Schizosaccharomyces pombe: one gene and its partner. The protein of the gene in region 1 purifies or fractionates together with the protein of each later gene. This does not show direct contact. Each region holds a gene or a part of one and is shown in the gene's direction. Other genes may lie near its edges.

What was found.
Region 2: the proteins of deb1 (region 1) and cid12 purify together in Schizosaccharomyces pombe (affinity purification with mass spectrometry; one study listed by BioGRID). This does not show direct contact.

Annotation. Positions count from the first base shown.
Region 1 is NC_003424.3:3,534,481-3,538,408, forward strand, and holds the start of deb1 (DNA-binding transcription factor Deb1/Rdp1), read left to right. Parts: upstream 1-2,014; 5' UTR 2,015-2,146; coding exon 2,147-3,308; intron 3,309-3,504; coding exon 3,505-3,779; 3' UTR 3,780-3,928. Other genes in the region: protein tam5, read right to left, coding at 1-258, 397-486.
Region 2 is NC_003421.2:1,653,719-1,657,646, forward strand, and holds the start of cid12 (poly(A) polymerase Cid12), read left to right. Parts: upstream 1-1,927; 5' UTR 1,928-1,950; coding exon 1,951-2,961; 3' UTR 2,962-3,363; coding exon of another isoform or gene 3,364-3,798; 3' UTR 3,799-3,912; coding exon of another isoform or gene 3,913-3,928. Other genes in the region: splicing-associated factor Saf1, read left to right, coding at 158-994; NatA N-acetyltransferase subunit Naa50, read right to left, coding at 3,364-3,798; trp663 (TRP-like ion channel protein), read right to left, coding at 3,913-3,928. UniProt on the Schizosaccharomyces pombe protein: Has a role in the RNA interference (RNAi) pathway which is important for heterochromatin formation and accurate chromosome segregation.

The DNA of each region.
Region 1 (3,928 bases):
ATCATGAAAACAAACTGAATCACTTTTAATAAGTCCTTCTGGTATTGGTTCCTTTTGAAAAATGGCATTTTCGAACATTAAATGCTGGTATTCCTCGTCTCCAGTCCCGAGATTGACAGCTCTTTTTTGTTGTTTTCCGAACATAGGATCTACCCAAGCAATAGAAATTCGAGGTTTCTTGAAAGTCGGAGAATTTTGATTTGATAAAAGGGAAGCAACTGAAAAGTCCGATTTATTTTTCAGTAGAAGTGAAAATGCCTAATATCATTAGTAAACTTTAATAAAAAGGAATCATTAACAAAATAGATGTTTCATAGGACATAAGTAGCAGATAATGAGTGTTTTCAACAGTTGGGAGAAAAGCAACAAATTCGCCCAACGAATTTATAATCTTACTTCATGTGATCGGATCTGTAATTGCTTTTGCAATTGTTCACGAGTTTCTAACGATTGTAGAAGAGAAAGGACATGATCATTGGTGGACATTAGAAATTTGTTAAAGAGAAATATAAAAAACAGCAATAAACTAAAATGATGAGGGATATTGAGTGAAATTGGGTAAATGCACTAATTCGATGGATTTATTCCAAACTCTTCAAGGTTAAAATGCAGAGGAAAGTATTAATAAGGTTTCCACATAGCTTGAAATGTGATGAGTGAAAGATGAAAATCACAACAGGTCGAAAGGTAGGTAAAGAAAAGATGAGGAAAACGAGTCAAAAGGAGAATGACAAATTGATTATCTCAGCTTTTACAGAGGTAAAAAATGTATGTAACATATGGCATTGAATTCGTCGTTCATTGGAACAACTTTTTTTTTACTTGGCCTGCTAAATACTGAGGGAAAAAATGACAATACTTTTGATTAAGAGTATTGATTTTTCTTTTATTTGAAAAAAATTCCCATGAATTTTTTGCTTAATGCTTTGAATTATTGGCGAGTGCTTGATATTGAATTATCGTGTTTAAGCGCTGGACAGTTTCATGGGCAAATACGACATATTTTTTCTTGTTAAGTATTTTTCTATTTCCTTGAAAATCTGATGTACGCAACACATACTTTTGTAACAAAGACAACATTGTTGTTTGTAAGAAGACCTAAAAATGGATGTCCATTTCCATCGCCTCAAACTTAGTGTTTCCCCCTTCTCATATGGTTAAAGATATTTCAAAATAATGTTTATTTTCTTTTGTTGGGAGTCTTTACTGCTTTATAGAGTTTTCATAGGACACCTTACGTAGACTCTTCCTTCCATCAGTTGAAGACCTAAATTGTGTTTTTAAATCTTTTCATCCAGAAAAAACTACAATTTAAAAGTCTTTGCACTTTTAAAAGCAATTGGTCAGGATTCCCTCTATGACAGATGTAAACAAAAAGGGAACTTGTGCAACAATCTGTTGAATTTTTAATTATATGGTTTCGCATTTCCTATTCCTGCTGCAAGTCAGGGCAGTTCTTCACATAAAAAGTAAAAAACCACTGAAAGCAAAAAAATGAATGAGTATATTGTGTTCAGCTAGGAATACCCATTTTTCATCTTCCACCCCGGATATAAACAAACATCTAGCCAGCCAGGTTCACAGAACTTCACCAATCTTTTTCACGTTCTTTTTTCTTTCAACATTATAATGTTATTTTAATATTATTTTTCTCTTCCCACTTTCCTTACTACTTCTTTCTCTATAGTAGATATCAGATCAATATACCACGGTCCATCGTATCGCAATAAATGCTTATCGCTCTTTACCGATCTTTCTTGTAAACAAAGCAAAGACCCACCAACGCAGATTGTGTATGATTTCCTCACAAGAGACCTATTTTTTATCGGAATTTTTATCTGCTCCATCATTCTATCGATCCCAAGTTAGTCTCTCTTTGCCTCCTCGCTTTCTCCTGCTAAATTTAGGACTTTTGTTACCCTTGGAATGTCACTCCTGTCATCCTAATGAGCCACATTAAGTCTCGTTAATATTTTTTTGCTACCCTTTTGCTACCTTCATGCTACTTACCACCAACACCTCCACACTGCATGCGAAAAATTTGATTTTGACTGAGCAAAGCAAAGTCGAGTGTGAGGACGTATTTTCCGGAGATATTTAAAGCTAACGATTCAAACTGAGTCGAAATTTTTTGTTGGTAAAGTCTATGAGTGAGCACTCGCCAGAAGCCTCGTCAACGTACGCTCAGGTCACAAGCAATGATGAGCTCTCCAGTAACAAAATTTACATGAACGCTGACCAAAACAATAGTAGAAAAAAGGAGATGGATGGGAGCTTGCAAAACAATGGAGGCCGTTTGCAAAACGTGAATCCGCTTGGTGGGAACGAGAGTATGAGTGCAGTCGCCACATCAGCAGCGTCGTCGCTGCCTACTGCGGAAAATGGGGTTTCTTTGAATGCGGCTTCACCCACCATCCATTCCAACACTCCCACCGTCGTATCGCATCCTGTTATGAGCGGAAGTGAGCTCAAGGGCGAGGAATCACATAATTCACCAGGTACACTGAACGGGACGTCTGTTGCTAACGCCTCCAAGCAGCCCAACATGCCTAATGCCACCTTTCGCTGCGACAAATGCGACATGATGTTTGTCAAGCAGTCGGGCCTCACGAATCACAAGCGAACGTACCATCAAGTAGAAACGGTTGTCATTATTGGCCATCGTAGGTACGTGTGGAGACGAAATGAAAACGGTCGCTTCCAATGTGTGTGTGGTCGCCAGAACTGGCGAAGACCTGTCAACTTTGCCTCTCATGCCAAGCAATGTCCCAGTTTTCTTGCAATGGACCCAAATAACATTCCTCCTGAAATTAATAAAGTCTCCCCCCACGATGATCTGAGACCACTCTCGGACTCAAGGCGTCGCGCACGCCGTCCACATCCTTCAGATACCATTCCGCCAGGCGCCTCTATGGCACGTTCTGACCCTAGTCAAGTGCCTGAATCCAACCCCTCTGCTGCCGCAGCCGTCGCCGCAGCCGCCGTTGCTGCTGCTGCGAACCTAACGAACGGCGTCAATCCCCCAGAAGTCCCTAGAAACCTGAACAGTTCTCTTGTCGATGCCGCTGAGTCTCTCGCTAATGTTTCCCAACAGCAACATCATCGTCATCCTTTTGCCCGTCAACCAGATTACTCCGCCCATTCCATTCCCCGTACCGCTGCTCCTTATGCTCCCTCTATGAATATGTTTGCCCAAAACGGCCCCAACACTTCTCTTTTACCAACTGCTATGCCTTCAGATGTTTCCATATCTTCTTCTCTCCAACAACAACCCATCCATCCATCCTATGACTCTAGGTTTTCCAAAGGTATGTTTTTTATTATTAATTCGCTCCATCTTGTATAGTTTGATAGATCTTTGTTGGATATAAACAAAAAAAGACTTGGTCTTGTTAAAGTTGCTTTGCTTCCAATTATTCGTTTTACGGTTGAATTGGTGTATCCTTCACTCATCTATCAGTTTGTTCATACGTAATTCTTCTTTTTTCATCAGTTAACCTTTAGCTCCTCAAGGTACAGATGCCCTTGCTGCATTGGGTTATGGTACGCCTTCATCTGCTGCCACATTATGTCCATTGTATCGAGATACTCCAGCTGCCATTGTCAGTGAAAAGCTACATTTACGTTTAGCAAATCTTCGCATCGCTTACTGTGAAGACTGTCGTGAATTTATATCTCTGAATGCTGCTCTGGATCATCGTCGTTCACACCATCAACAAAATATCACGGGTGACCTTGTGCACGTATACAGCGATTTCTTAGACTTCCAGAATTGTTAGAAAATGTTGCATCTTCTTATATTTGATCAGTTTTATATGGATTTTACCAACTTGCTTTTTGGTTTTAATTTTGTTTCTTCATTTTTTCGTTATATTAAGGTTTTCCCTAATCACCATGTTCTCTTTACAATTTTTGTAAAGTATCGGAA
Region 2 (3,928 bases), on another chromosome or scaffold:
TCAACATTACTAATTATTCTTTATTTAAATTTAATGTAAACGGTCGATTACTCAAACCAATTTAATACTATTCTTTGTCTATTTGCCTAAATATTTTATACATGTCACGTTTTTGATCACCACCATTCTAAACCCATACTATACTTGACTCTACAGAATGCTGTCAAAACGGGGATTAAATCCCGTTCAAGCGGAGAGCAGAAAGAAGAAAAAAAGAGAACAAATTAAAGTGCGAGAAGAAAGAGCAAAACGCCATGAAGAACGACTGTCGCATAGGAATATGAGCCAAATGGAACGCCAATTATCAGAGCTGACACAATTAGAATCTTCGCAAGCTTTAAATGCACATGACAAGCAATTATTACAAAATTTGCAAAGAGATATGGCAATTATGAAGAAGAAAAACATTCATGGACATAGAGTTGGGCGTGTTGAGTCAGACAAGACTAAGGAGGCAGAACGTCAACATAAACCTAGAAAGCCTTTTATCCCTAAAAACCCAAAACGAAGTATATATTATGATCCAATATTTAATCCTTACGGAGTTCCGCCGCCAGGAATGCCTTATCGTGAGAAGGAAGAACTAAGTTCAGAAACAGATGAATCCGTTATTGATATACCTTTACCTTCTGAAGAATATCCTTTTGAGGATCCAAAGCCAAGGGAAAAGAAAAATAAGAGCTTTAAGCCAAAGCACCACAAAAAGCAAGACATAAATGCAAGTTCAGCACAACCAAAATCCACTACTACGACAGAAGCTGCTGCAAATACGAAGGACATTGAAGAGGAAACTATGATTGAGTACTCAGCTCAGCCGGTAGTCAGAGATTTACGACAAGAAGCTGCTCAATTTTTACCTGCTGCGTTTCAACGACAAAAACTAGCCAAGGGGCAGAAAATTGGACAGCCAGACAGGGATGTATCGAGCCAAGTTCAGGAAGACAAGGATGAAGAAATAGATAATTTCTACAAAGAAATTGGCGGATATCTATAAAAAAGTCGTTAAAATTATGGAGATTGGAAGTAAGGATTACCAAATGGGTGTAGACGGAATTTTTAGTTAATAAACATGCATATTAATTTATATATAATATCTGTTTACTAGGTTCAATTTTAAAGGAGCTTGATTGCATCTCTGTACTTGTTTTTTTGTTTTATTCAATTATGAGTGAGCTTTCATAAGTTAATTCAAAGGCTTATTATTATGATGCGGTCAATAATTTCAAATTTTTGATGTCCAAAAAAAACAAAGGAGATTTTGTTTCTGTGTTATTGCATGATATTTATTAATGTTTTCTTGGTTCAATAATTCCTTATTATAGTCACTTTTACACTGCTTGAGCGAAAGGGGATTTCAAAAAAACACCTTATATTCATCTTTCCGTGATTATTTCAAGTTGACTGTTTTTTGTGAATTTGTCTTTTGCTAAATTATGATTGTTACACTTAGTCCTACACTGTTCATTACGAATCAGATTACCAAAAAGAAAGAAGTACATGACTAATTACTTGGATTAATTTTATTTTATTTTCATATGTATTTAGACGCCATGACAGTATTTACATGCGTAAACCAACGAATTCGTTTATCAAATAAAAATATCATAAAGGAAACCTTTAAAAATCGAAATACACATGCTTAAGTTAAAATTTGCACAATGAGAGATGAGGGAGTACTTATCTATCTTTTGCTTGCTTTTCTTGGGTTCATAATCTTTGGTTTTCGCTATAAATGCTGTATGAGACTAGGAAGCTTTTGCAGTCAATCATTCTATTATTTATAAAAACAAATAAGTTATTTATTGATTAAAAACTCGTGATACTTTTTTTTGCTATAAAATGATTTATTTACATATAATTACAAGGCACTCGCACGACCTCGTTATGTGCGAGGAGCCATGAAATTGAATCCATTGATATTAAAATTAGCCAAAATGCCATTTCTTAAGAATGGGTAAAGTCCTGTTAGAGCTGCATTCAGTACCATGGAATGAAGAAGGTTTGAGTGATAATGCTCGACTTTATTCATTTTTGGAGTTCGTAAGCCCGAAAATCGAGGAATTGAAGTACAGAAAGCTTTTGTTAGAGAAACTACAGACTCACATTAGGGAGGTCGTTTTGGATGCTGAACTTCAAGTATACGGTAGCATGTATATTGGAACAACATTATCTATAAGTGATGTAGACGTATCTTTGAAGTCACCTCGAGTTGGAGAATTGGAGAAACGACGCGTCACCATGGTTTTAAGAAAGTACTTGGATGCTGATGCTGATTTCCATTCTAGTGCCAGAGTCCCTCGCATCAATTTAGTAGATGTTAGTGGAATTGGGGTGGATTTGACGTTTGGAAATGACAAAGCTTGCAGAACTGCTGAATTGCAAAAAGCTTATAACGAAGAACACCCAATTTTTGGTAGATTGCTGATGCTATTGAAGCACTGGTTGTTTGAAAGAGATTTGGAAAACGTTCATCATGGCGGGATTGCAAGTTGCGCGCTCTCTTATATGCTAATTGGTTGGCTTGAAATGCGATTTCACAAAAAGGGAATTGATTCGGAAGTGCAACCAATTCGAGCTTTACTACAGAAATTCTTCTATTTTTGGGGAGTCGAATGGACATACGAACTTTTTGTATTGAGACCTTTAACCGGTCAAATAGTTCCTAAGCTACAAAAGGGCTGGTTAAACGAAGTGCAACCAAATTTGCTATCTATTGAAGATCCAATTGACAGAAATAACGACATTGGAAAGCAATCATTTCAAATTAGTATGATTAAAGCTGCATTTGTTGCTTCAGCTAATGAATTATTATCCGATAAGACATGGTTTAGCACCTTTGCAATTACGGAAGATGAAATGTTTTTGTGTAAACAGTTTGAAAATGTTATAAATACTAAACGAAGTTTGGTGGAGGGATATGATAGTGATACGGAATCAGATGAATTACAAGCTGGCGGATAACTGCGGGTTAATGCATTTAAAAAATAATGCTCGCTGTTTAAATAAACATTTGTTTTTCAATTCCTAAGTTGTCTTGCCGCATGTGGTAATGTTTCACTACAGTTCGTATGTACTTTACTCTTGTTTAATTGAATGGATTCATATTCTTATTATTGATAGGATATAAGAATCCTACAATTATCTTAGTCATTTTCAAGTCTTTTAATTTTACTTAGGCAAGGTTCGGCTGTTTCAAATGATATCACATTTTGTACCTATTGAAGGTGCTAACAAAATCTGTTCTTTAAAAATTTCAAAATTAAATCTATTTTATTCTTTTAAAATCTATCCAAGGATCCATGTTAGATTTTCAAGTCAATTTAATAATTGCATTTCACTTAGATTAATAAATGTGTGTGCAATCTATAGCTTTTTCGAAAGAAGGACGCTATCTTCTGTTTTGGAGCTCTCATCAATAATGAATCCCCGATGAATAAACCATTCGGATACATCGAGTTTAGGGCTTAATTTAATGTAAATTTCTTTGGCTTTTCCCTCAGCTGCAGTCTCGCAAGCATATTCCAACAGCTTGGTACCAATAGAACGGTTTCGATAGGCTGGCAAAACTGCCAAAGATAAAATTTGGATTTTGTGCGATTTATTATGTGTTTCTTTTTTGCATCTAACAGCTCCTACGCAGACCTGGTTAAAGTACGCATATTGTGCTAAAGGCCCGACTGAGATTGTGTCTTTGTAAAAGGAGGTTGGAAATATAATGATTTCAGGATCAAAACACTTTTCGTTAATAACTTCAAGGATTTTCAGATTATTAGGGTTAATCGCATCAAGTTCAATCATCTTTTTTATGCAAATGCAAATATCTTTTTCTATATGTACTTGGTGTTGTCAACTTTCAGTCTTTAAGGCATTCTAATGCAATAGTTTGAGTTGGAAACATCCACGATAAAATCTTTAAACAGTACGCTGC